Macaca mulatta: one gene and its partners. The protein of the gene in region 1 purifies or fractionates together with the protein of each later gene. This does not show direct contact. Links are inferred from orthologs where the notes say so. Each region holds a gene or a part of one and is shown in the gene's direction. Other genes may lie near its edges. The genes, in order: AXIN1, PPP2CA, HIPK2, GSK3A, DVL1, AMER1 and LRP5.

Region 1 (4,270 bases):
GCTGCCTGGGGCGTCCTGGGAGGTGTCAGGCCCAACAGTGCTCTGGGAAGGACAGGGCTGATCCTGGTACTGACATCCTCCTCCTTGGGGGAGGCAGGGCCTGATGGTCGGCTGAGGCCTGGGTGGAGAGCAGAGGGTTGGTTCTGACAGGGTTGGGCTGGCCAGAGCTGGTGTGGGGGCTGCTGCTGGGGTCCTGTGCCTCTCTGCTGTGGGATGCCTGGGGCTGTGGCCTTGTGCTCTGTGGCCTGCAGGGCAGGTGGCACGGATCTGGGCAGCCAAGATGGCAGGATTGGACTGCACCCCTTGGCAGGGCCGCTGTGGAGACAGCCCAGGGGAGGGGCTGCAGGGTTTCAGACACTCCAATGGCCTTCCTCTCAGGCTGGCCTGGGCAGCGGAGGGAAGGAGAACCCTTCTCTGATACTAGATGGTGCCTGGGAGAAATCAAGGCAGAGGGTCCTAGCCGGTGGGCTCCTTGGAGGTTGTGGCTCCTGTCCGGGTGACAGCCAGCACATATTGGGGCCTAATGTGTTCCCTGGCGCTGTGAGTCCCGGCTGCCTGGGGACTCAGGAGGGTGGAGCCCACGCCACCTTCCAAGGGACCTGGCCATCCCTGCCTGCCGACCACCCAACTCCTGGGAGCCTGCTTCCCTCACGGCGGCTGGCAGGCCGTGGCGGTCTCCGCGGGGGCCTCCGGTCCAGGGCCGGCGGGGCAGGGAGCCCCGAGGCCTGCAGCCCCCTGGATGCCCACCGATGTACTGGCGGCAGAAAAGGGCTGCGCCCCGCGTGCGCCCGTCGGGGCGGGCAGTCCGCCCAGCGCTCCCCACGGTCGCAGCCATTCCAAGCACCTGCAGCGGCGCCTCCCCCACTCCGCACTCCGGGAAGCCGCAGCCGCCGCGGCTCTGCTTCCGCGTCGCCCCTCGGGAAGACCGCGCGACCACGCCCCCGCCGCGCCCCGCCCCCGGCAGGGGCTGACCACACCCCTCTCCCGCTCACGCAGAGGCCCTGCCCCATGCTTCTCACCTCGTCCTCGCTTCCGGCCCCGCCCCGCGCACGAGGCTCCGCCCCACGCTCGTTACCTCTTCGGCTCGAGGCGGGCCCCGCCTTGCTCCCTGGCCGCAGCCCCACTCCCAAGGCCCCGCCCTGCGCTCTTCACCTCGTCTTCTCGCTTCCGGCCCCGCCCGTGCTTGGGCCCCGCCCTGCGCTCCTCACCTGTCCAATCGCTGTCTGCCCCGCCCCACGCTCCTCACCTTATCCTCGCGCTTTCAGCCACGCCCCGCGCCTGAAGCCCCGCCCCACGCTCTTTACCTCGTCCCCTCGCTGTCGGCCCCGCCCCGAGCTGAGGCCCCGCCCCGCGCTCTCACCTCGTCCCCGCGCCCCGGCCCCGCCCCCGCACTTCCGGGCGCCGCCGGCGGGGGCGCTCGGGCCTGGGCTTCGGCGCTCTGGGCTCGGGCTCCGGCTCCGGAGGCAATCGTGGCCGCTGCCGCCGCCAGAGCCGGCCGGAGTCGACCCGGAGCCGCGTCCACGCGGAGCGGGCGGGTGGGAGCTGGCGGCTGGGCCCCTGCGGCGCCCCCGCGGCCTGCCCCGCGTCCGCCCCCGGGCCGCCGAGCCGCAGCCGCCGAGATGGGGGCCGCCCCGGGCCGCGCCCCCGCCGAGTCCCGCCCGCCGCGCTGCCGCTGAGCGCATGGGCCGGGCTGCGCCGCGCCGCTCCGGGAGCCGGGCCCGGGGCCCCGCCGCCTCCGCGCGCGGGTGAGTAGGGCCGGGCGCCGGGGCGGGCTAGGCCGCGCTAGGCCGGGCGGGCGGGACCCGGAAGCGGCGGGGGGCGCGGGTGGCTGACGCGCGTGGGGCCGAGGGGGTGGGCGCGCGGGGAGCTGGGGCAGGGGTGTCCCTGGGCAGCGAGACCGGCGGCGCGGGGGCCGCTTGGAGTTCCGAGGCCTCGGGCGCGTCTGGGGGCGCGGAGCAGCTGCAGGGGCCGCGCATCGCGTGCGGGAACTCCGGGAGAGCCGGGCCTGGAGCCCTCCCCGCCTCCCAGAAGTCGGCAGGAGTCCGGCTGCCCCGGAGGAGGGCACTCCCGCCCGCCCTCGCCGAGGCCGCGTACCGGGTCCAGGTCGCGGTGCGGCCTGAGTAGCCGCGTGCTCAGGCGTTCGTGCCCTCCAGGTTTGATGCCTCGCTGCCCAAACACTCGTCTCTCTCTTGGGTGTGGTTCCTAGATTCTACCTCCCGCCCGGCACTTTGGAATTTAGCCCCCAGTGAAACCAGAGCTGCATTGCCTGAGCAGTGAAACTTTCGGCTTGGCATTGAAGAAAGTAGAGAAAAACATGTCAGTTCTCTAGGGATTTTTCTCAGCCCATCTATAAGGTAATTTTTTTTTTTTTTTTTTTTGTAGAGATGAGGTGTCACTATATTGCCCAGCAAGTGTTGTTGAACTCTTGGCCTCAAGCGATCCACCTGCCTCAACCTGCCAAGGTGCTGGGACTACATGCGTGACCACCGCCCCCTCTAAGATAATTTTTTTTTTTTGAGACGGAGTCTCGCACTGTCGCCCAGGCTGGGAGTGCAGTGGCGCGATCTTGGCTCACTGCAACTTCCACCTCCTGGGTTCAAGCAGTTTTCCTGCCTCAGCCTCCTGAGTAGCTGGGATTACAGGCATGCGCCACCACGCCCGGCTAATTTTTCTATTTTTAGTAGAGACGGGGTTTCACCGTATTGACCAGGCTGGCCTGGAACTCCTGACCTCAGGTGATCCGCCCACCTCGGCCTACCAAAGTGTTGGGATTACAGGTGTGAGCCACCGTGCCTGGCCCCTTCTAAGATAATTGATAAAGGGTGCAGTGCAATAGTGCGATCTCTGCTCACCGCAATCTCCGCCTCCCAGGTTCAAGCGATTCTCCTGCTTCAGCCTTCCCAAGTAGCTGGGATTATAGGCATGTGCCACCAAACCTGACTAATTTTGTATTTTTAGTAGAGTTGGGGTTTCTCCATGTGGGTCAGGCTGGTCTCAAACTCCTGACCTCAGGTGATCCGCCCACCTCGGCCTCCCAAAGTGCTGGGATTACAAGGGTCAGCCACCACACCTGGCCTCAGTTTCAGTTTTAAGATCTCCATTCGGGGACAAGGATGGGAAAGCATGAAAAACAGTGTTTTTGTTTGATTTTCAGCTGGTGTTGACTTGGATTTCTAGTTTCAGAAAAGCTAAGCAGACTTTTTCGGATTACATTAGTCACTGAGAATTTCAGTGATGGGGGAACAAATTACATGTGAAATAGTAGCCCTGAACCTTCAAGAGTTAAATCAGTGGACAGCTGGGAAGATGTCAGAGTCGTGCTGTTTTACTTGCATCCTCCATGTAAATCAAAATTTCAAAAGTTAAGTTTGGGTAAAATAAATACCTACACACGTAGGTAGCACTGAGTTTGCTGCCATGGTGCCTGGGGCATATGCCTAAGCAGTGATGAAAGGGAATTTTAAATACGATATCAGACTTGTAGGCATCCTGCCCATTTTATGGACTCACTTTATTGATGGTAGCTACAGGCTGTGGGCCAGATTCAGTGCTTGCGGGCATTTGATGCTAACCTGAGTAAACATAACTGCTTTATGTGTGGTGTCTACGTGTGTGTACACTAAATGCTTGGTGTGCTTCCATGTGGAAACCCAGAGATTTCAGGAATTGGGATATGTTTTAACAACATCAGTAACTTGTGGAGGGGTTCATGTGCTTCCAGGGACACCAAAAAGTCTTCTGTCAGTTGACAGCCCAAAATACACATGATTATAAAAAAATTTTCTCCTGGGCTCTGAAAAATAGTTTAAAATAATTAAGGTGGACTTGGTTCACACATGAATTAAAACATTAGTTTTGGGGCCAGGCAAGGTGGCCTGTAATCCCAACACTTTGGGAGGCCGAGATGGGCAGATTGCTTTGAGCTCAAGAGTTTGAGACCAGCCTGCCCAACATGGTGAAACCCCATCTCTACAAAAAATACAAGAATTAGCCGGGCGTTGGTGGCTCCTGCTTGTAGTCCCCGCCATATGAGAGGCTGAGGCTGGAGAGTTGCTTGAGCCTGGGAAGCTGAGGCTGCAGTCAGCTGAACTCGCCCCACTGCACTCCAGCCTGGGCGACAGAGCGAGACCCTGTCTCAAAATAACAAAAAAAACCAAAACAATAAAACCCATTAGTTTTGGAAGAATTTGCTGCTGTTTTCTGTAGTACAGTAGTTCAGCATCTGTAGAGAGCCAGTGTTTGGCATCTGTGACAAATGTCTGTCTTTTTT
Region 2 (2,766 bases), on another chromosome or scaffold:
AAAACTCATTGCTGATTATTTCAGAGAATCAACTTCCTTTAATGTTCAGGTGCTCCTGACTCTTTCCACTGTTATACCCCTTTAGGGATATTTTTTAGTAGATATTGATAGCATTCATTCAAATTTTAAAAAATTAATTTGACAAATGTGTCCAGCTTTTTAAAGTGCATTATTCTTTATATCAGGCACTGAACTATATGATGGGATCACAGGGGTGGATGATGTAGCCCATTTATTCTCTCAGACTGTTTTTGGACAAGTCTGGGAGATGTAAGGAACTAATTATTGTGCACACAAAAGAACTTATAATAAAATTTTATGAGCATGGAGATACTAGTCTCTGGCAGGGGGCAGGAGTGATATCCAAAAAGTTTTCTCAAAGGAGCTGTTTGAGGTGGAGTCTGGGTGTGACAGTGATGTTCTATTAGGAAGAATGGGAGTGTACTCAATCGTTTAGAGTGGGCTGGAGCAAAGCTGAATCCTGCAAAGTCAGGCCTCATTCAGGCAGAGCACAGAAACACCAGAGGGGCCAAGTGATGGGGGCGTCCAGCTCATTTTTTAAAAATTTTTATAGAGACACAGGGTGTTGCTGTGTTGCTCAGGCTGGTCTCAAACTCCTGGCCTCAAACAGTCCTCCTGCCTCAGCTTCCCCAAGTGCTGGGGTTACAGGCATGAGCCACTGTGCCCAGCCAAGAATGTTTACAAATTTTTTAGGTGAGGTTAACCTTTTAAACCACTCTTTTCAGATCTTCTGTCTACATGGTGGTCTCTCGCCATCTATAGATACACTGGATCATATCAGAGCACTTGATCGCCTACAAGAAGTTCCCCATGAGGTATGACTTTTATTTGATAAAATCTTTCCAGAAAACTTATTAAAGAGTGGAGAGGTTTAATTATAAGATCATTAGATGTATTCTCTCTTATAATTCTCAAAAACAACTTGAGGTGTGAACACTCTTGTCTGCCCTATTGTTCAGAAGAAGCTGACATTAAGAAACCTGCCAAGATCACAGCAGCTGTAGAGCTGGGCTTATTAGGACCTAGGTTGTCTGTCTTAGACTCTGAAATTTGCATAATATAGGCAGATTAATTAAGGCATGTTACTGCTGGGTCCCATGGATGTCAGCTGTGTCTCATAAAGTCTACTGGAAAATACATATTACTTGATGCAGATGTTTGACTTCAACTGCATAATCTACTAGCGTTGTCCACAAACATCACTCAAAGAGGGTGACTTAGGGTGCTGCTTCTGATGAATTACTCAAATAATGTGTTAACCATGTTTGTAAAAGGCATTTTATAACGAAGTTATTTTTTAGGGTCCAATGTGTGACTTGCTGTGGTCAGATCCAGATGACCGTGGTGGTTGGGGAATATCTCCTCGAGGAGCTGGTTACACCTTTGGGCAAGATATTTCAGAGACATTTAATCATGCCAATGGCCTCACGTTGGTGTCAAGAGCTCACCAGCTAGTGATGGAGGTATGCTTCTATTATTTGAAATATGACTTGTTTTTTAGTAAACTTAAGGAGAGAAGATATTAGGGAGTTTTAAATTAATGACATTTGTGAGAAATTCCATCTATTCCTTCTGATGAGTTTACCATTATAGCCTGAGCCTTTTCAGTAGATGCACACTACTAGAATTAAAAGCTCAAGTTGTTGATTACAATGAATCCATTAACATGTTTCCAGAGAAATCTGAATGACTAGGAAGTACTTGGGATCTAAGAGTGGGAAAGTAAGATGTAGGGAGTTGGGGTGTGTATATAATATTTTATGATCCCAATGTCATTTCATATATTTAACATGTATGTATGTAGGAGAGACTGGAAAGAAATACACCAAAATGTTCTAAGTGGTCCTTTGGATGGTAGGATTACAGGTAATTTGAAAGAAGAGAAGGGAAAGAGGCAAAGGTTCTTGACATGCACACTGATTAGCATGTTTCTAAAATAAGGTGCTAATTAGATTAATACTAGTACAACTCTGTGGTTATCAATAAAATCTGACTTTGCTAAAGATAAATAAATTTGTGAACAATACTAAACAAAAAGTAACAAAAGTAGCTCATGCATTCAGATGGATGGATTTTGAGGAAACAAGGCTGGAGATCCTAGAGGCATATCACATTTGTTCCTGGGCAGTGAATGACTTACAGGCCTTTACCTGTAACTGACGAAATTGGTAAGGTTCTGATCTCCAGGATTAGGTATCTACTTCTCTAGGGAATGGCCACTTAAATACTCATTCTTAAATCATGTTTTAAGACCACTGCAATAGAAGAGGCTAATGAGACACCATCATTTACAGCAAGGCAGATACATGAGAAGCAGTTCATTCTTCGGTGGTCGCCACTGTTTGTTAAAGGCTTTTTTTTTTTCTTTTTAGTACTAAAAGCAAATTTTGTAATTAGGGGGAAAACAAATACGTATGTATCTTACAGGTTGTATGAAGTACAGCAAATTATTAAGTCAACCAGAAAAAAAGTATTAACATTTCTTAAGCCCCTTTGGCAGGGGTGGGAATGAGTAGAGATTTTTTTCTCTCTTGAGTGAAGTAGCATTTAGTTGAATTGAGGGAGTAAAGTAAGATTTTTGCCTCCTTTTCCTTGTAGGGATATAACTGGTGCCATGACCGAAATGTAGTAACAATTTTCAGTGCTCCAAACTATTGTTATCGTTGTGGTAACCAAGCTGCAATCATGGAACTTGACGATACTCTAAAATACTCTTTGTAAGTATTTCTACTTGAACATTTTATT
Region 3 (4,068 bases), on another chromosome or scaffold:
AGATGGAGACCGGAAAGGATAAGAAGTAGTGAGAAAATCACGGGGTTGTTTTTAAGAATGTCATACAGTGTTAGAGATCATTATTTTACACCTTAAAAAGACAGCTTTTCAACTTTTCTAAACCCACGATTTACAGTCGGAAATAAAATTGACATCATGGTCTAGTACACTTGTCCAGTACCTATAATCGAAACAAAAGGTTTATGAAACAATAGTTGCCCTTACTAAGGGCAATGGACTCTAATATTTTCTATTGGATTCCATTTCATTCTTTTTGAAAGCCGGTTGCCTTCTGCTGCATTTATTTTATGATCTATTACTGTATCACGACCCACGGTTTTAAAAACTGTGCCTAAGAGGAGACTCAACAAGTCTTCCTAAGTTGGAGGGGATGGTAGGGCATCCTATCCAAGCATCCGGGAGGCAGCTGGAGAAGCAAACCTGAAGAGGCTCCGGGCTGGGGAGAGTTTGGAGAGTGTTTAGCGAAAGCCCTGATAGGAGAGAGCGCTGTGAAAAGCGAGGACCCAGACAGCTGTGAGCGCCCATTCAGTGATGGAGGGGGGACCCTCGGGACAGTGTAGACGCGAGGAGGCGAAGATCAGGGTGACGTCGAAGCCAGACTCCGGCAGGAACCCAGCGACCACCCCGGGGGCTGCATTTCCGCGGCGTGCACGGTAGGGCTTCGGTGCCTCTGACCTCGCGTAGCTTTCCGAAGCTCCTCCACTCACCCTCCCTCCCCGGGAGCACGGCGCGCGCCCACTCCTTCATTCATTCATTCCACTCCTAACTCCGCGAGCGCCAACCGGCTGTGAGATGGGCGAGCCACTTTGCCAGCCTGGGGCTCTCTTTCGGGTCGGTTCCCTCCCCGCCAGCACACGCGCGCACCCTCGCACCTGGGCACACACACACGCGCGTGCACACACGCACACACACACACACACAAAGTTCTGGGGGCCCCTCTGCGGACCGGCTCGGCTGCGCTGGGCTTGGAGCCCTGCGCCCGCCGAGTCCAGGCCGGCCCTCTCACCCGCTACCCCGGGCCCGCCCCGCGCCCTGTCCCCCCGCGCTGCGCGGCAGCCCCTCCCGGCGCGGTCCCCTCGGGCCGCCGGCGCGGCTCTGCCCTTCGGCTCGGCCTTCCCCGCCTCGCATCCGTGCCATCGGCGCTCGATTGCGCGCGGACTCCCTGTGGCTCTCCCGGCCCCGCGCCCCGCCCCCGCCCGCCGCCCCCCTCCGCCAGCAACTTTTGCGGAGCCCCCGCGCCCAGCCATGCTGAGCTGAGCCCCGCCGGCCCTGGCCGCGCGCTGCCCCCGGCTCCCGCCCCTCCGCGGACCCGCTCGGGGGCCGCGGCCGCTCGGCGCCTCGGCCTCGGCCGCTCCGCCCGCCCGGCCGCCCCGAGCCCCGAGCCCCGAGCCCCCCGCGCCGGGCCCGGGCGGCAGCGGCGGCGGCGGCGGCGGCGCGCCCGGCCCCCTCCCCCGGCGCCGGCCACGGGAGGCGGTGATGCGGGCGCGGGCGGCCTCGGCTGCGCCGAGAGCGGAGACACAGGCTCAAGATGGCAGATTCCGACTGAGGCTGGGGGGGCCGAGCTCGCGCGCCGCTTTCCCGTCCCCGTTGCCATGAACCGCGGACACCCCGGCCCCGATGGCCCCCGTGTACGAAGGTAAGGGGCGCCCGGCCCCGCCGACCCCGCGCCCGCCGCCCGCCGCGGCCCCCGCAGCTTTGTTCTGCCCGCGGCCCCGCGCCCGCAGCCCCCGGCGCCCGCCCCAGCCCCCACCCGGGGCCGAGGGGGCCGCGACCCCCTCCCTCGCCCGGAAGATGACCGGGACCCGGCGCCGGCAGGGTCCTGCTTCCAGGGCGGGGAGAGGGACCGGGGGCGCAGGAGGGGAGGGGGCGTGTGCGAGGGTGGGCGGCTGCCCGCGGAGGGCAGGGGCGCCGGGGAAGGCGGACCGGTGACTGTGCTTTTTATTTATTTGCGATAAATGAAGGTGATGCGGCTCAGCTTCCACCGCCCCCCCACATTACCTTTCGGAGCACCTCCTTTCCACTTCGCTCTCCGCCCCGCGCCCCTTCCCATTTCTCTCCGCGCCCACCCCACGCTCCTTTATTCTCCGCGAGCCTCCGATTTTGGGGGGGCTGTGGAATCGGAATGCACGGGGCTAGGTGGGGAGAGAGATGAAAAGTCCGTGTCAGAGCCAAGCAGAACAATGAAATAGGCGAAAATCTCCCCGCATTAGCGTGTGGAAGGGGACGTGGACTTTGGGTTTTCCAGCCGGGGGAGCGGCGGATACGTTTTCCTGGCTCGGTCTGGGTCGACCTGTGTTGTGCACCTTCACCTGGCGTCGGGGTATTTTTCCCCATTTGCCTTTAGCAAGAAAGAAAAGAATGCAAGGCAGAAAAGCAGTAGGTCTGCCTCGCACACTGTCTTTCGTTTCTCTTCAGTCCGTTCTGTCAGCTTCCAGCCAGAAAGCAACCCAGAATCAACTAAGTTTTTACACTTCGATGTGTTTTTGTGTGCTTGTAGTAGGAGAAATTTTAAACCCAAGTGTGTCTGATTTTTCAGTCGTTTCATCGTGTAAATGTTTGTCTCATGAAATCATTGAATTCGCAGCCTTCACATACTTTTAGTGTGGGTCCCCCTGGCTTTCTTTCGGTTTTGTTCAGATATTCTGTGGATGAAATCGCAAATGAGAGGGGACAGGGTTTGTGTGGCACAGAGGAGGGCACGAGGGGGGAATGTAATCCGCCTGTAAATCCGGAGAACAGTTGTGGCCAGTGAGACAGGGAAGGCGTTAATAGTTTTATCTCTGTTATAAGAGGCTGATTTTAAAAAAAAAAAAAAAAAAAAAAAACTTATCTGAAAAGAAAATCTGTTATTAGATTCAGGGCTCCAAATGAATTAGGTTTCTGGCCTGAATAAAGTTACCAGTCAGGCGCTGGATAACGAGGCTGTAAATAACCTATGGACTGTAAATATTTTTTTTCAGACTCTCTTAGAAACAAAGGGGCTGTTTAGAAGGCAACAGAGAGATGTTATTCCAGGGGCTTTCCTCTTTGATTCTGAAGAACACAAGGTCCATTTAACCATTCAACAAAACAAAACGAAATTTCTGATCACTCCACCACGCAGAATAGAACATGCCGGTGGACATGTGAACATGCGGGAGAACCCATGTCGGGCGTTCATTGTTCATCTGCGTCTACAGGAGGGGGCTACAGTCAATGCTCCCACTGTCTAGAGTGTTAAAATGAAACAATTTTCTCTTTATTAAGTACCTCCTTGAGACTCCCTCTGCTGGACACTCCTGGTGAGTTGCGAGAAGGAACTTGGCATTGAATTCAGAACTATAGTAAACGGCTGGTTTCCCTGTTACTAGGGACCGGGTATGTGAGTTGGGGTGTATTTTGTCAACTTTGTGGAAAGCCATCTTGGGAACTGCACTGTTCTCCTCCTGCTCCTTTCATTCTAAATCCATGTGGAATGTAGGCCATGCCCCCGAGGCTGAGACTTGGCTCTCCCCATTCCTGCTACATTGTTCTTCCAGTTCCTTACGCCAGATAAAGAATTGCAGGTGTGTAGGGTGTTACGGTTTAAGAATAATCATGGATCTCAAAAGTCTCATGAACTGTTTTTATTTGCCAGCCTTCCTTCCCTTTCTCAGGTGACCTCCGTGGTGGCCTCTTTCAGCCCTCGGTTTCCCTCCATCTTATCCATGTGCCTTCTTCATTCTTCCCGCGCTGTGCACCCTTTTATTCCGGATGTTTCTCTGTGCACCTTTATAATTATTTTTCTAATGTTCTTCCCTATCCCACTTCAACCAACCCACATCACTCTGCCAAAAGCCCAGGCCTGGGTGTTTTTGAAAGAGATTGTTGGATATGCTCTACAACAGGTGACCTCTAGAATCAAGGATTAGGTTGCTAGGACCCGCATTCACTCACTGATGATTGTGCCAAGACTCTGATGACCTCCTTTCTCCCGCCATGGTAACATCCGCTGGGTTCAGGAAACCTGATTTTTCCCCTATCTCAATCAGAACACATGGACTCCCTGTGTGCACGCTAAATGAGCAG
Region 4 (3,500 bases), on another chromosome or scaffold:
CCAGAAGAGAAAGGGACCTGGAAGAGCTAGCGCAGGGGGTTCGGAAGGTCGCGCTCTCCCCAGGTGTTTGGCCAGTGCAGGATGGAATGGAGGTGCCCGTGAGCTAGGAGAAGCTCAGGGAGCTAGAAGGAGGTGGAGGAAGTGGAAGTTGAGGAATAATTAGTGTTTAAGGGCCTGGCATTTGGAGCTTAGGCTAGTCTGGATGTAGGAGAACTGAGCCTAGACTGGAAAGGAACCAGACCAGGGCCTGGGTCTTGGCAGGGAGGGCCCTTGGGCAGGAGGAGCTCTAGGGTTTCAGAATTTGATTGGAGTTGAGTTCCAGAAGTGAGAGGGATGTGGGGGCAGGGAGTTCCTAGGCCTCACAGAGGAATAGAGAATGGGTAAGAATGATGAGACCACATTCTGGGAAGAGTCCGATGCCTGGAGTCTGGGACTCAGGATCCTAGATAGAGTTCAAGGATCCAGATGCTTCCATGGGACCAGGGTGAGCTGGATGGCCACCACCTGTCTGTTGTTGCTTGTGCTAGGTAGGGGGCAAGCCTCACATGCCCACACCTGATTTTTTGTTTTTCTTTTTTTTTTTTTGAGATGGAGTCTTACTCTGTCGCCCAGGCTGGAGTGCAGTGGCACGATCTTGGCCTGCTGCAACCTCTGCCTCCCAGGTTTAAGCGATTCTCGTGCCTCAGCCACCTGAGTAGCTGGGATTGCAGGCGTGGGCCACTACGCCCGGCTAATTTTTTTTTAAATTTTTTATTTTTAGTAGAGACAGGGTTTTGCCATGTTGGCCAGGCTGGTGTTGAACTCCTGACCTCAAGTAATCTGCCCCTGCCTCGACCTCCCAAAGTGCTGAGATTGTAGGCATGAGCCACTGTGCCCAGCCCTGAGTTTTCAAGACAAACTAAAAACTGGATTTAGATGTGCAATCTTTTTTTTTTCTTTTTTTTGAGACGGAGTCTTGTGCTGTCACCCAGACTGGAGCGTGGTGGCACGATCTCGGGTCACTGCAACCTCCGCCTCCTGGGTTCAAGCGATTCTTCTACCTCAGCCTCCCAAGTAGCTGGGACTACAGGCGCGTGCCACCACTATCGGCTAATTTTTTTGTATTTCTAGTAGAGATGGGGTTTCACCATGTTAGCCAGGATGGTCTCTTTTTTTTTTTTTTTTTTTTTTTTAAAGTCAGAATCTTGTTCTGTCACCAAGGCTGGAGTGCAGTGGTGTGATCTCGGCTCACTGCAACCTCTGCCTCCTGGGTTCAAGCAATTCTCATACCTCATCCACCTAAGTAGTTGCAATTACAGGCATGCGCCATCATGCCCAGCTAATTTTTTTGTATTTTTAGTAGAGATAGGGTTTTGCCATGTTGACCAGGTTGGTCTCAAACTCCTGGCCTCAAGTGATTCCCCTGCCTTGGCCTCCCAAAGTGCTGGGATTACAGGTGTGAGCCCAGCTGTTTTTATTTATTTATTTATTTATTTTTATTTTAAGGCTGGGTGTAGTAGCTGACTCCTGTAATCCTTAAACTGATTGGCTGAGGCAGGAGGATTGCTTGAGGCCAGGAGTTCAAAACCATCCTGGCTAACATAGCCAGGTTCTTTTTTTTTTTTTTTTTTTTTTTTTTTGAGACGAAGTCTGGCTCTGTCCCCCAGGCTAGAGTGCAGTGGCCGGATCTCAGCTCACTGCAAGCTCCGCCTCCCGGGTTCACGCCATTCTCCTGCCTCAGCTTCCCGAGTAGCTGGGACTACAGGCGCCCGCCACCTCGCCCGGCTATTTTTTTGTATTTTTTAGTAGAGACGGGGTTTCACCGGGTTAGCTAGGATGGTCTCGATCTCCTGACCTCGTGATCCGCCCATCTCGGCCTCCCAAAGTGCTGGGATTACAGGCTTGAGCCACTGCGCCCGGCCCATAGCCAGGTTCTTTAAAAAAAAATAAATAAATTTTATATTATCCTTTTAATTTTATTTATTATTATTATTTTGAGACGGAGTCTCTGTTGCCCAGGCTGGAGCGATCTCTGTTCACTGCAAGCTCCGCCTCCTAGGTTCACGCCATTCTCCTGCCTCAGCCTCCCGAGTAGCTGGGACTACAGGCGCCCGCCACCATGCCTGGCTAATTTTTTTTGTATTTTTAGTAGAGACAGGGTTTCACCGTGTTAACCAGGATGGTCTCGATCTCCTGACCTCGTGATCCGCCCGCCTCAGCCTCCCGAAGTGCTGAGATTACAGGCGTGAGCCACTGTGCCCAGCCCCGGCTTATCCTTCTTAAAACTTTCTTTTGGAGAAAAAAATCAGAAGGTGTCATTTGATTTTTACATTTCAGCAATAAGTTGAATTTTTTTTATTTTTTATTTTTATTTTTATTTTTTGAGATGGAGTGTCGCTCTGTCGCCCAGGCTGGAGTGCAGTGGCCGCATCTCAGCTCACTGCAAGCTCCGCCTCCCGGGTCTACGCCATTCTCCTGCCTCAGCCTCCCGAGTAGCTGGGACTACAGGCGCCCGCCACCTCACCCGGCTAGTTTTTTTTGTATTTTTTAGTAGAGACGGGGTTTCACCGTATTAGCCAGGCTGGTCTCGATCTCCTGACCTTGTGATCCGCCCGTCTCGGCCTCCCAAAGTGCTGGGATTACAGGCTTGAGCCACCGCGCCCGGCCTATTTTTTATTTTTAAAGTAGGGTGGCTTGGCGCGGTGCCTCATGCCTGTAATCCCAGCACTTTGGGAGGCTGAGGTGGGTGGATCACGAGGTCAGGAGATCGAGGCCATCCAGGCCACCGTGGTGAAACCCCATCTCTACTAAAAATACAAAAATTAGCTGGGCGTGGTGGCGCATGCCTGTAATCCCAGCTACTTGGAAGGCCGAGGCAGGAGAATCGCTTGAACCAGGGAGGCAGAGGTTGCAGTGAGCCGATATCGAGCCACGGCATGCCAGCCTGGCAACAGAGCAAGACTCTGTCTCAAAGAAAAAAAAAAATTGGGGTGAAGAAAACATATCTGTGGCCTGGGTTTAACCGGTAGGCTTCCAGCTCGTGTGGGAGGAGAGTAGTCTGGAGACAAGGAATTGGGGGATACCCTAGGGGACCTTGAAGCTGGGACACAGGGAGTAGCTGCCTGGCTGTTGTGGGGAGTGAGTAGGGAGGGGCAGCCGAGAGAGTTGGTCGTATACTGAGACTCTCTCCCTTTGCCCTCAAGAACCGAGAGCTGCAGATCATGCGTAAGCTGGACCACTGCAATATTGTGAGGCTGAGATACTTTTTCTACTCCAGTGGGGAGAAGGTGAGACCTCGAGGTGGTGGTGGTGGTGGGTTGCTCCACCTCGACTCCAGCCATTTTCTTGCCCACCTGCCTTTCCCCCACTGCTGCCTGCACACCTTCCTTCCCCCTTCCTCACTCTTCTCACAGTGCCTCACGCCTCTCCTTTGCTCCCTGCAGAAAGATGAGCTTTACCTAAATCTGGTGCTGGAATATGTGCCCGAGACAGTGTACCGGGTGGCCCGCCACTTCACCAAG
Region 5 (4,120 bases), on another chromosome or scaffold:
CCCACAGTCCCCTCCCTGCCAAGTACATCGACCTAGACAAAGGTGAGTGGGCTACCTCAGCCCATCTCAGAGCCCTGCCCATCCCCATTCCACCTCATCCGGGACCCCCAAGGGCAGACACCAGCCAGGCCCAGGGCCCCTGCCACCTCAGGCTCCGAAGTCCCTGGGGAGTCCTGCTGGGGGTCTGCCCTGCGTCTCCCACTGTGATGAGGGTGGAGAACAGACGCCGACCCGTTGGCGCCCTTGGCTTCCAGGGTTCCGGAAGGAGTACTGCAAATAGGGGGACCCTGGGCTCCTGGCTGGGCCAGCAGCTGCATCTTTCCTGTCTGTGCCCCTCGGGGCATCACCTGGTGCTCCCGGGCTCACCCCCTTCCAGCGGCTGGTCCCGCTTTCCTGGAATTTGGTCTGGGCATATGCAGAAGTGGCAGCACAGCCCCCACCCCTTCGGCCTTTGCTCACGGGTGGCCCTGCTCAGCCCAGACACAACCAAAATCCCACTGATGCCCAGCATGCCCTCAGACCCTCCTGGGCTCTGCCCACTGGGGGCTGGAAGACATTCCTGGAAGACACTCCCATCAGAACCTGGCAGCCCCAAAACTGGGGTCAGCCTCAGGGCAGGAGTCCCACTCCTCCTGGGGTGCTGCCCACCGTCGAGAGCTCCCCAGGGCTCCTCCGCGTACCATGCAGGACTCCAGGCACCATCTGTTCTCCCCAGGGACCTGGTGACTTGGTGAATGCCAGCCCTTGCCCCTCTCTGCTGCTTTGGGCCACCTGGGGCTGCACCCCCCGCCGTTTCTCTGCTTCCACCCCTACCCTAGCCTTGCTCTCAGCCACCTTGACAGTCACTGGGCTCCCTGTGACTTCTGACCCTGACACCCCTCCCTTGGACTCTGCCTAGGCTAGAGTCTACGGCTGGGGCCACATTTGGCTTCTGTACTGGCTGAGAACAGGGGAGGGGGTGAAGGTGGCTTGGGGTGGCCTATGTTGCCACTCTCAGCACCCCACATTTGCACCTGCTGGTGGACCTGCCACCATCACAATAAAAGCCCCATCTGATTTTTAGACTTGGCCCAGGTATGCTTCTGAAACTCCATCTCCTAGGGGTGGGCAAAGTACGAGTCTGGGCCTGGGAATCCCCACGTCGTCTTCATCTCCACCTGAAGCCCCTGACATCATCCCATTCCTTGGGCTGAAAGGTCTGGGTCTGGGTCCTCTGGGAGTTGGTGTCCTGGGAAGGGGTCATTTGAGTTAGTTCTGTGTGGCATGCTTCTGGTCGTGGAGGAGTTCATATTCCTTTGATGGCTGACCTGGATGTGGGGAAGGGGGACGTGGCGGTGGCTGAGGACAGAGAGGAGACCGTGGAGCTCCGGGAGAGGCAGACGGATGGCAAGCGGAAGTAGCGGGATACGAGTCAGACACTTGCAAAGGGGGCAGGAGCAAGGAGGCTCCGGCAGAGACAGCCCGGGGCAGCAGGGTGGCTCCAAGAGAGTCCTCGCCAGGCCAGCACGGATCTGGCCCTAGAATCCTTTCCCACTCAGGCATCAGTGCCGGGCACAGGATCTCAGCACAAGTTTGGGTGGTGGGACGAGTGGCGGGATCAGGAAGGCCAGTGGCCTGGGCTCCTGGCAGCACAGACCAGCGACTAAGTGCTGCTTCTTGAAGCCGGCATCACCACCCAACCCCATCCTCCTGTCCTCCCAGGAGTGGGGGTGGGAAAGGGTGATGGTTGCCCACAAGGATCCCACAGCAGCACAGGTTGGGAGGAAGGGAGGCTGGTCTGGGGAGGTGTGGCTTGAAAATGCACCCCCTTCTGGCCTCCGGCCTCACCATCACTGGACAAGGCTGCTCCTGGCAGGGCCCCAACCAGACCACATAGGCATCAGCACCTGGACTGGCCTCAGGCCTCTGGCTTCCAGCCTCTCTTGAGACGGGCTGGGGTCAGGCCCCTGCACCTGTGTGGTTCCTCCCCTGCTCTGGGGCCACCTCCCCTGCTCTGGGGCCACCTGTGTCTAGCCTGGGGAACATGGGTCTGGCCCTCAGGGCAGGTACGGGCTTCCTCCCTCCCTGGGGCCTCAACAGATAGCCCCTCGGGGGTCTTCCTGCCTGGCTTCCGACCTCTGGGGAAAACAAGGGCTGGTGGGAAGGTGGCCCAGGCTCCAGGCAGAGGCTGGCGGCTGAGCTGGCCGGGCTTGGCTGAGCGGACGCCACAGCTCTCCCACTCAGAGCCGGGGTGCAGGTTCAGGACCCCAGGCCCAAGCCGACCGTCAACCACCGGCACCTACACTGATGGGTTTCTCTCTGAGCCGGCGCGGGCATCGTCAGGGCCGGATAGATGCGAAAGTCCCAGACTCCTGCCGGCTTCCTGGGGACGGGGCCCAAGGGGCCCCACCGCGCCAGCCCCGTCCAGGCTCCCGCCTCACTCTCCCCATCCTGGGCCGCCCTCTAGTGGCCTCCGCGCTTCCTGCTGGGGTCAGGCTGGGAAGGCCTCCAGCCCCGCGGGCCCCGGAGGAGCGAGCGCGGACGCCCCGCGGCCTCAGGGGAAGGCTCGGAAGTCTCCCCTGCCCTGCGGAGGACCCCAGGACGAAATCCCTCCCGCCGCCGCGCGCTCCGACGCCTCCGTGCACGCCCGCGCCCACGCGCGCCCCGCATCCCCTCGGCCTGCGTCGGACCCCGTGGGACCCGGCAGAGGGCATGCGAGTCGGGCGCCTTCGCGGGGGCGCAGAGGGACCGGCCGCCACCTCAGCGCCGCGCACCCGGCGTCCCCGAGGTCCCTCCACCCACCCCGAGCACCCTGGCGTCCACGGGCCCAGAGCCAGGCCGCGCGGGGATGCACCGGCGAGTGTCGCGGGCGCCCGAGCACAGGGGAAAGCGAGCCCAAGCGCGGGGGGGGGCCCGGGGCGGGGCGAGCGAGGATCGCCTGCGTCTGCGCCTGCGCCTGCGCAGCGACGCTCCGCCCCCCGCCGCGCGCTCCCGTGACGTCATCGCCGCGCGCTCGGGCGCCCCCCCGCGGCCACGCTCAGGGCCGCGGGCCTGGCGGTCCCTTTAACTGCGCGGCCCGAGGGGCGCAGGCGGGAGGGCGGCGGGGCTGAGCGCGCCCTCCGTGCTGCGTCCCTCGCGCCGCTCCCGGGCCGGGGGCGGATGGGCGGCCGCGGGCCGCGGGGCAGCAGTCGAGACGCGCGCGGGAGCCGGGGGCGGCGGCCGGGGCCTGGGCGGTCAAGCGGGGGCGCCCGGGGGCCTCGGCGCGGCGGGGCCGGGAGCGGCGCGGGCCGGGTGGGGCGCAGGCGGGCGGGCGGGGAGCGCCCCGCGTCCCAGCCCCGGGCCGGGCCCTGAGTGCGCGGGCTCCGCGCCGCCGCCGCGCCATGGCGGAGACCAAGATCATCTACCACATGGACGAGGAGGAGACGCCGTACCTGGTCAAGCTGCCCGTGGCCCCCGAGCGCGTCACGCTAGCCGACTTCAAGAACGTGCTCAGCAACCGGCCCGTGCACGCCTACAAATTCTTCTTTAAGTCCATGGACCAGGACTTCGGGTCAGTCGGCCACGGGGCCTGCGCGAGCCTGGCGCGCGCTCGGGGGTCGCATCTGCCAGCGCGGGGACGGGGCGGGGGTCCTGGGCGGTCCAGGCCTCCGCCAGGTGCGATGCGGGTGGCGGCCTCGGCCCGCGTGCGGCGCGTGCCCACCTGTCTGTGGTGTGGGGCGATGGCAGGCTGGGGTCCCGGCGTCCCTGCTCCCAGCCTCCCGGTCCAGAGTCCTGCCTTGGCCCGGGTCGGACTCGGTCGGCGGCATCCCTTCCATTGGGGCTGGCCGGGAGCGCCTGCCGTTGGTGTGGGCTGGGGTCAGGGGTGTGTGTGTCAGTGAGAAGGGAGCAGGGTGGGGTTTCCTAGCTGGGATGGGGAGACGTGGGGGGACAGGTTCACCAACCTGTCTGCTAGGGTTTGCAGAAGCTCCCCAGGGCTCAAGAGAGGTTCTCCTGGCCCCCTTCTTCGGGGTCCCTGTGACAGGGCGGAGGTCAAGGGCCACTGGTGGCCTTGAAACTTTATTCGCCCACCCCTGCTCTGAGCTCCCTGTCTGCCCGGTCCCCACTGAGTCACAAAGCACTTGCGTTCCCAGAGCAGCTCAGA
Region 6 (4,027 bases), on another chromosome or scaffold:
CAAATCATAATCTTGGTCTAATTCAGAGAATCAAGGTTCTGAGTGAAATGCGAGCAAGTGGCAGTGACCAGAGGCACGAGGTAGGGAGGAAGTCTATAATGGAGATTCTGGAAAACAAAATAAACTTCCAAATCAGGCCTACAAATGAGAATCAGGACTTTGCAAAGCAGGAAAGCATAGCCCCAGGGAAACTTTTATAGTCCAGCCATTCAGATGGGAAAAAAAGTTACATAATGAGCCAGCAGCAGCTCCCTACTCCTCACCATTTATTTAGACTCGGTACTAGGAAGGGAGTCTGATGTTCAATATTGATTTTTGTTGGCAATGTATAGAATGTCATGGAAGGTCATGGAACATCTATATTTCCTATAATATTCCGTGGAAGGTCATGGAATACTATAGAAAAAAAATGAGTTGAACTCTCAGATCTCAAAGATATCAAGAGAGCCTGATGATGCTTACCCTCTCCTTGTGGAGGCGGGGTGATGGACTGGCCCAGAGAAAAAAAAAAACTAATTGGCCAAGGTGTCCAGCAAGTCTGAGGTAGAGCTAGAGTCAGATCCCTAGCAGCCATGTCAGTTCCTGTGCTCTACACATGCAGAGGCAGAAGTCCACCTCTTACCAGTTCAGCAGCTGGATCTTTTCAAGACTGTCAGGACCCAGAAGCAGCAGAGAACACTCCTGCAATGCAAAAATAGCACGCATTGTTCTCTAATCCTTCTCTCTATCCTCAACTTTAATCCACCCACCTCCCTTTTTAGACACGCACAGAGTTTTAGGGCTGGGCCTTCTGGATATTCTTGAACTAGAGGTGGAACTAGATTCTTTGTTGCCTCCGCTCACCTGGCCCTGGCAGCCACTGATGCCACTTAATGTCCTTAGGCTAGAGACCCAAGTTCGGCTGGCTCCCTGCCACATCCCACACACAGTAGCAGACAAGGCTGGTACAGGCCTCCTCATTTTGTCCTCAGCCTGACCTCCGGTTTGGGCCCAGACAAGATTTTCCTCTCGATATTTAGACTTTTCAGGAAAAAAGGCCTGCACAAAGCCAGGCTCACAAAGGATAGGGGGAAGGGGGACTCTGAAGACCTTGGGGATTCCCTCCACATTCCATAGAAGGTGGGAAATTTGGGTGAGGGTCAATCTATGGAAAACAGGTATCATCTCAGAGAAGAAAAGTGAAAGCAATCCTGGAAGGGGAGCCCGGGGCTCTGTATTCCAAATTGGCCCATGTCGCAGGCCGGCTGGGTAACTGTGGGGAGGGGCTTTCCCTACTCGGGGCAGCAGAGGGCCCGTCGGTAACGGGTGGAAGTTGGCCTCTATGGTCTTAGGGGCACCGGTGTGCCAGAGAGGCGGAGGAAGTTAGGGCGCAGGCGCTGCAGCTGGCTTTCCTGGCAGGTGAGTCCCTCCTCTGGGTGGCCTGGCGGCGCGATCCGCAGGGCCTTGTCTCTACGACTAAGGAAGGGCCGGCGGAGGTGCTAAGGGTTTCTGCAGTCTCCCCAGGTTCCTCAACCTCTCTGCCTCGTTACTCCCCGCCGGCCTCTAGCTCAGGAATAAACGGCCTGCTGGCGTCCAGGGCACACGCGAATGCACAGCGGCCACGGAAATGGCAGTGCGTGAAAACCGAAACCGAGCTCCAGGGATCCGGCGAGCCCCATCCGGGCAGGACCGGCTCCTTGAAGCCACGGTGCAGCCACGCCACTACCAGCCCGGCATGGGGGCGGGAGTGGGGAGCCCCAGCCAGTGGTTCCGCACCCTCTCCGCCCCCTGCCAACACCACGCCTGCACTTATTTGCATTTAAAGAGAAACGCACCAAGGAAAACAGTGGGCGGGCCGGGGCACGCCTTCCCACCATAGCGATTGGACCATACGCCTGCCAATCAAGACGCAGATGCCCCACCCGGTGGCCTTGGAGTACTGGGGGAGGGGGTATGGGGGAGCTTCCCAAAGCCTGGGGAAGGGGAGTCAGTGCTGGAGGTGACTGGAGCCGCGGCGGCGGCGGCAGCAGCTGCGGTGGCGGCGCTCTCAGCCGCGGCAGCCGAGGCTGCAGCCCGGCCCAGGGCGGCTCAGCGGACAATAACCAGGCTAGGAACCTGACCCGGCCGGGTAAGCGTTGCGTACAGCCAGGAGCCTCCGCCTGCCCGCGGTCGGGTGCATTCCCGCGTGCTCTGCTCCTACGAACTGGAGAAGGGCGCTAAGGACTGGGCGGGTCGGAGTCCCGGTCGCTCGCCCTTCTCCTTTGGAACCCGGTTTGCGGAGTGTCCGGTGGAGAGGCCGAGCGGCCTTGAGTCCCCTGGGCACAAGCGACCACGGCTGGGGAGAGGGGGGAGGTTGGGGAGGGAGGGTAGGAAGGCAGGCTAGCCTGGGCCATGCCTCCCGGCTTTCGGGGGGGCGGGGATGGGCCCGCACGTGCTGCCGCACAGTCCCGGGAAGGGCGCCGCCAGCCAGCACCCCAAGCCATGCATTTGTAGGCCGGGAGCTCTGCAGCTTTGTTTTAGCACATTTGCTGGAACAGCTGTGTAACGCGGGTACCGCTCACCCCTCACCCTGGCTGCCTGGCTGCCGCCCCTCCCCTCCCCTGTGCATCTCCAGCCTCTCCCTCCTTTCTGCGGACTCAAGCTGGCGTGCTGGCTTGGGCCCGACGGAAACCGGCTTTGGCGTGGATTAGGACATCCACAGACTGCCCCCTCCCCAGAGGAGCTCAGTGGGGCCTGTGGGCTGAGCTCAGTCGCACACTTCCCTTCAGAACCTTGGCCTTGCGGCCCCAACTAGCCGCGCCCCTCCTCCTGGGCCTCCCGGCGCATCTGGCGCCCGCCCCCGCGGTCGGGCAGGCTGGCTGGCAGCCGGGCTCTTGCTGGTCCTTGGGTTAGAGCAGCGGCGCAAGCTAGTCCTTGAGTTAGAGCTGCAAGGCCGCTTTGTCTCCCGCCTCGCCTCACCTCCGTTTCCCTTGGAGGATACTGGCCGCGTTTTTCTCTCCAGCCTCCCGTTTAAAAATAGCGATAGGCACGGTGTTTTGGGGGCATTTCCTTGCCTGAGGCCGAAGGAGCCCTCATTGTAGTACGGAACGTATCATACCGTCTCTGTGTGTACAGGAGAGCTATCGAGGTGGCTAACCCCTCCAACTTCGCAGTTACTTAACATACCCAGCTCTCTAGGCCACTGTCATTGTCTCCTGGAGACACTTCTGACACTGGTGACCGCCCGAACGCTGGACTTTGCTTGGCTCCCCCAGTGGTGAGGGGCTGCGCCGGCTACATGCGTCACAGCCCAAGCGCCTAGGCAGCAGCTGGACTGGTCCCTCAGAGCTGGTCTCCGTTTGGCCAGGCTCCTCTTGGCAAGGGCTGCGGGGTCAAGGCGAGCCTTGTTCAACGCACAAATACCTCTCTCTGCGGCTCTGCCTGCCTGCCTGCTGCAGCGGCGTGGGCATGGGCAAGGCGGAGGGCACTGCACTGTTGGACTGCCTGCCCCACCAGGATTCCAGCAGAGCCCCCTCCCCCAGTGCGGCTCCCCTCATTCGGCCCCACCCACTGCACAGTCACTGCACCATGGTGCACCTCTGGCAGTGGGCTCTCTAGGCCTTTTTGAGGAATAGGACAGAGAAAGCCACTGAGGGACTTGGTAGGCTCTTCTTGGACCTTTGATTAATCTCTGGTGTGGAGAGTCATGTGGGCTGCAGGGCCCAAGCAAAGCTTGGGCACTTTGAGGAGGGGCAATGAGACCCAGTAAATTCCTCACTTGGAGGAAGGCTAGCTCTGGATCTTTATGACAGGAGCCAGGACCACAGATATCACACTACAGCCACCTCCTCCCACCTTGATTAGGCCCCAACACAAACCTCTACTTGCAGCTGGGCATCTCTAGCCCAGGGCTGGACCTGCCCTCTGCCTTGTCTTAGGCCAACAGGCACCTAATGTATCTGCTCTATGTAACTCCCTTGCCCACACCCAAACCCACTCAGCCTACACCTGTCCAAATCTTCTTCCTTCTCAGACCCCAGTTCTGGGCCTACCTTTTCCTTGGTGCCTT
Region 7 (3,500 bases), on another chromosome or scaffold:
CCGCCCTAGGGGGCCTAGGAGAACTGAGTCCCTCCGGGCATAACTGACAGTTCCCTTCCCATTACTCCGCAGGAGCTCAGACCTGGCTGTATCCTTTCCAGGATGGCCTTGGAGACCCATCTAAGCCCTGCACCCTTTGGGAAGCTGCATGTTGGGTTGGGGTGCCGTCAGTGGCACTTGTGGAAGGTGCAGACCTGTGTGGGTGTGTGGGCCCGGGGTCCCTTCATCCCTTTGTAGGGCTGGTTGTGTGCTGCCCGGCCCTGGAGGGCAGGTTTACATGGTGAATTTGTCTATTTACTATCTCAGCTTTGGGGCTGGTGCCAGCACAGGCGCTTGTGAAGGGGGTGCCTTTGGAGTGGGGCCGCGGCTCCTCCCTTAGTGTGGCGACCTCCGTGTGTGGGTCAGGGCTGCAGCAGGGACACAGAGCCCCTGAGTGTTCGGAACAAGGTTGTCATTGCAGGAGTTAGACTGTGCGTGATGGAGAGAGGAGGGGCAGGAGGAAAGGTCAGAAGGAGGGTTCCTGGGAAGGTCCCTGAGGAGCCTGGTGAGGTGCTCACTGGTGTGGGGGACACTCAGGGCCTGTGGGGACATCTCCGCCTGCTGGGGCCTGGCCACAAAGGGGACTGATCGAAGTCCCGTCCCTGCCTTCACAGCCCAGCATCTGGTCACAAGGCAGGCACTCGGAAGGGCACGGGGTTCCTTTTGCCTCTCACCGAGACGACCTTCGGGGCAGGTGGCTGCTGCCTACCCTCCCATCCCCAAGTTTCGCCAGCTGGCCAGAGGAAGGGGTCCTGGGAAGCAGGGGTCCAGAAGCCCTCCCTGCAAGGAAAGCCCAAGAGGTGTGGGAGGAAGGAAGAAAGGCCCAGGCTGGCGAGGCTCTGGGTCACCCTGGCTTGGCTCTCCTCAGATCCTGAACCCGCCGCCCTCCCCGGCCACGGACCCCTCCCTGTACAACATGGACATGTTCTACTCTTCAAACATTCCGGCCACCGCGAGACCGTACAGGTAGGACGTCCCCCGCAGCCCTCCATGGCCGTTGGGTTCTCACCAGCCCATGGTAGAGGTGCCTTATCCCCATGCCACTGGTGAGGGGTTCTGGGGTCTAGTGGGCAGGTGCTGGGCCCAGCCCTGCCTCCCTCTGCTCTGCCGATCCTACTAGGCTGCCTCCCCAGATGCACCCAGCGGGGACTGCGTGTTGGGTTCAGAAACCAGTAGAGCCCCGTGTTCTGAGCTGCTCTTCAGCTTGCTCCTGTGGGGGTTACCTTTAAGCCGGGAGATGGCTGTGGAGTCGAGGGGCCGGGGACTTGGGCTCCAGGGTGCAACTGTATGTGTGAGGCCGGCTGTGGAACCCTAGCCATTGAGATGCCCCCTCTTCGTGGCTCAGTCCTCTTAGGACGGGACAAGTCTGTGAAGGCTGCTGCAGCACCCACTGTGGACCCCTAATCGTGTGATGTCACCAGGATGATCCGGGCAGCTCACTTGCCACAGTGGCCTGTTTGAGCCCGGGAAGCCAGCGGGGCTGTTCAGCCAGACACCAGCCCCCGAGCTCCCCATGTTGGGGTCACAGGCCCCACCTCCCTGCTTGGGGAGGGGCAACTGAGAGTGTGGAGAAGTGGGACCCAGGTGTGCTGTTTTCCGCAGGGGCTGGATCAGAGCCTGGGATGGGCAGGGTGAGCCTCCTGACCTTTAACCCAGTGGTGTTAGCCAACAAGGCCCACCTGCCAGCTGCACCAGGCCCCACCCCCAGGGGTGATGGGGTGGGATGGGTTGGGCCTGGGCCAGGCCACCTCAGGGCCACACGTGCCTCGTTGCTTGGGTCCCTGGAGCAGCAGGGCCTCCTGAGTGTGGTGCCGCCTGCCACCTAGTGGCCATTTCCACGAACTCCCAGGCCTGGCTGGGGAGCCGGAACTGCGGCCTCCATTTCCATACCCCTCTGGGTCTGGCCACCTCCCTGATGCCTCAGTATTATATCAAACTGTCATAGTCTGTCCCAGCAGCCTTACGGACCACTGTCTCCAGAATGGTCACATCCACACTGGGCAGGCCAGTCTCACCAGGCCCCTGTCCCACCTCCTGCCTTTGCTCATGGCGTCCTGCTCTGGGCCCCACCGCGGAGACACAGTCCCTCCCCACCGCCTGACCTCGCAGTAGCTGGGCCCCAGGAGGGGTAGCCTGCTGCACTTTTCTCAACACGAGGTGTTGGCTGCACCTTCCCACCCATTGCAAGCCCCTCTGTGACAGGACAGGGGCTCCTAAACACACCACGGTTCCGAGTCTGGACTCACACAGTGGGATGTGGTGTTTCTGGGCCGCAGTTGGGTGCAGGCAGCCTCTGGGAGGATGGGAGGTCAGGAGCCATCTCGCGAGTCAGGTTGCTTGAACTCAGGATGGGAGCATTCCAGGCCCACTGGTTGCTGTGTTAGCCTGTTCTCACGCTGCTAATAATACCTGAGACTGGGTAACTATAAAGGAAAGAGGTTTAATGGACTCACAGTTCCACACGGCTGGGGAGGCCTCACAATCATGGTAGAAGGCAAGGAGGAGCAAGTCACATCTTACATGGACTCAGGGAAGAGAGAGCATGAGAACCAAGTGAAAGGGGTTTCCCCTTATCAAACCATCAAGTCTAGTGAGATTTATTCACTGACACGAGAACAGTACGAGGGAACCACCCCCGTGATTCAGTGGCCTCCCGCTGGGTCCCTCCCACAACACGTGGGGATTATGGGAGTACAATCCAAGGTGAGGTTTGGGTGGGGACGCAGCCAAACCATATCCCTTGCCAACACAGTAACAATGTTAGGGGAACAGTTGTCCAGTTTCCTGTTTTGTCAGGCACTGTTTCTAGCACTTTCCAGGCAGAATCTCATGTATCTTTCACTTTTGAAATGGGTACTATTTAATCCCTCACTTTTATTAATGAGAAACTAAAGCTCAGAGAGGTCAAGACAGTTCCTGGCCAAGGTCAGCTAGCAGGCTCTGGAGGCCTCGTTCTCCGCAGAGGCAGCCTTGCCAGGACCCAGGCTTGGCAGGCTGCAGGGCAGGTGCGGGCATGCCCATGGTAGAGGTGGGGCTGTTGAGGGTGAGCTGAGAGCGTAAGTGATGAGCCCCGGCCACACAGCGGGGTGGGTCCCGAGTCAGGCCTGCATTTTCTGGAGCTGGCCAGTGGACAGGCCTTTCCCGAAGTTCACAGCCTCAAGGCTGCTGTGCCCACCAGGACGGATGTGCCTACCAAATCCCAATCCTCTGTGTGTGTCCCTTTCAGGCCCTACATCATTCGAGGAATGGCGCCTCCCACGACACCCTGCAGCACCGACGTGTGTGACAGTGACTACAGCGCCAGCCGCTGGAAGGCCAGCAAGTACTACCTGGATTTGAACTCGGACTCAGACCCCTACCCGCCCCCACCCACGCCCCACAGCCAGTACCTGTCGGCAGAGGACAGCTGCCCGCCCTCGCCCGCCACCGAGAGGAGCTACTTCCACCTCTTCCCGCCCCCT

The links.
Region 2: the proteins of AXIN1 (region 1) and PPP2CA purify together in Homo sapiens (affinity purification with western blotting; 4 studies listed by BioGRID and IntAct, with this or other methods). This does not show direct contact. The link is inferred for Macaca mulatta from reciprocal best matches to the Homo sapiens genes AXIN1 and PPP2CA.
Region 3: the proteins of AXIN1 (region 1) and HIPK2 purify together in Homo sapiens (affinity purification with western blotting; 3 studies listed by BioGRID). This does not show direct contact. The link is inferred for Macaca mulatta from reciprocal best matches to the Homo sapiens genes AXIN1 and HIPK2.
Region 4: the proteins of AXIN1 (region 1) and GSK3A purify together in Homo sapiens (affinity purification with mass spectrometry; 12 studies listed by BioGRID and IntAct, with this or other methods). This does not show direct contact. The link is inferred for Macaca mulatta from reciprocal best matches to the Homo sapiens genes AXIN1 and GSK3A.
Region 5: the proteins of AXIN1 (region 1) and DVL1 purify together in Homo sapiens (affinity purification with western blotting; 3 studies listed by BioGRID). This does not show direct contact. The link is inferred for Macaca mulatta from reciprocal best matches to the Homo sapiens genes AXIN1 and DVL1.
Region 6: the proteins of AXIN1 (region 1) and AMER1 purify together in Homo sapiens (affinity purification with mass spectrometry; 4 studies listed by BioGRID and IntAct, with this or other methods). This does not show direct contact. The link is inferred for Macaca mulatta from reciprocal best matches to the Homo sapiens genes AXIN1 and AMER1.
Region 7: the proteins of AXIN1 (region 1) and LRP5 purify together in Homo sapiens (affinity purification with western blotting; 3 studies listed by BioGRID). This does not show direct contact. The link is inferred for Macaca mulatta from reciprocal best matches to the Homo sapiens genes AXIN1 and LRP5.

The regions. Positions count from the first base shown.
Region 1 is NC_133425.1:1,567,056-1,571,325, reverse strand, and holds the start of AXIN1 (axin-1), read left to right. Parts: upstream 1-1,470; 5' UTR 1,471-1,745; intron 1,746-1,861; exon of another isoform or gene 1,862-2,153; intron 2,154-2,206; exon of another isoform or gene 2,207-2,354; intron 2,355-2,382; 5' UTR 2,383-2,384; coding exon 2,385-2,462; intron 2,463-4,270. UniProt on the Homo sapiens protein: Component of the beta-catenin destruction complex required for regulating CTNNB1 levels through phosphorylation and ubiquitination, and modulating Wnt-signaling.
Region 2 is NC_133411.1:143,102,164-143,104,929, reverse strand, and holds part of PPP2CA (serine/threonine-protein phosphatase 2A catalytic subunit alpha isoform), read left to right. Parts: intron 1-746; coding exon 747-836; intron 837-1,322; coding exon 1,323-1,484; intron 1,485-2,619; coding exon 2,620-2,738; intron 2,739-2,766. UniProt on the Homo sapiens protein: Catalytic subunit of protein phosphatase 2A (PP2A), a serine/threonine phosphatase involved in the regulation of a wide variety of enzymes, signal transduction pathways, and cellular events.
Region 3 is NC_133408.1:179,611,713-179,615,780, reverse strand, and holds the start of HIPK2 (homeodomain-interacting protein kinase 2), read left to right. Parts: upstream 1-1,268; 5' UTR 1,269-1,638; coding exon 1,639-1,657; intron 1,658-2,019; exon of another isoform or gene 2,020-2,203; intron 2,204-4,068.
Region 4 is NC_133424.1:53,291,604-53,295,103, reverse strand, and holds part of GSK3A (glycogen synthase kinase-3 alpha), read left to right. Parts: intron 1-3,182; coding exon 3,183-3,266; intron 3,267-3,422; coding exon 3,423-3,500. UniProt on the Homo sapiens protein: Constitutively active protein kinase that acts as a negative regulator in the hormonal control of glucose homeostasis, Wnt signaling and regulation of transcription factors and microtubules, by phosphorylating and inactivating glycogen synthase (GYS1 or GYS2), CTNNB1/beta-catenin, APC and AXIN1.
Region 5 is NC_133406.1:239,336,955-239,341,074, forward strand, and holds the start of DVL1 (segment polarity protein dishevelled homolog DVL-1), read left to right. Parts: upstream 1-1,320; 5' UTR 1,321-2,827; coding exon 2,828-3,028; exon of another isoform or gene 3,029-3,359; coding exon of another isoform or gene 3,360-3,419; coding exon 3,420-3,529; intron 3,530-4,120. Other genes in the region: MXRA8 (matrix remodeling-associated protein 8), read left to right, coding at 1-42, 520-734. UniProt on the Homo sapiens protein: Participates in Wnt signaling by binding to the cytoplasmic C-terminus of frizzled family members and transducing the Wnt signal to down-stream effectors. Plays a role both in canonical and non-canonical Wnt signaling.
Region 6 is NC_133426.1:70,579,698-70,583,724, reverse strand, and holds the start of AMER1 (APC membrane recruitment protein 1), read left to right. Parts: upstream 1-1,227; 5' UTR 1,228-1,398; intron 1,399-1,878; exon of another isoform or gene 1,879-2,107; intron 2,108-4,027. UniProt on the Homo sapiens protein: Regulator of the canonical Wnt signaling pathway.
Region 7 is NC_133419.1:6,178,531-6,182,030, reverse strand, and holds part of LRP5 (low-density lipoprotein receptor-related protein 5), read left to right. Parts: intron 1-907; coding exon 908-1,005; intron 1,006-3,265; coding exon 3,266-3,500. UniProt on the Homo sapiens protein: Acts as a coreceptor with members of the frizzled family of seven-transmembrane spanning receptors to transduce signal by Wnt proteins.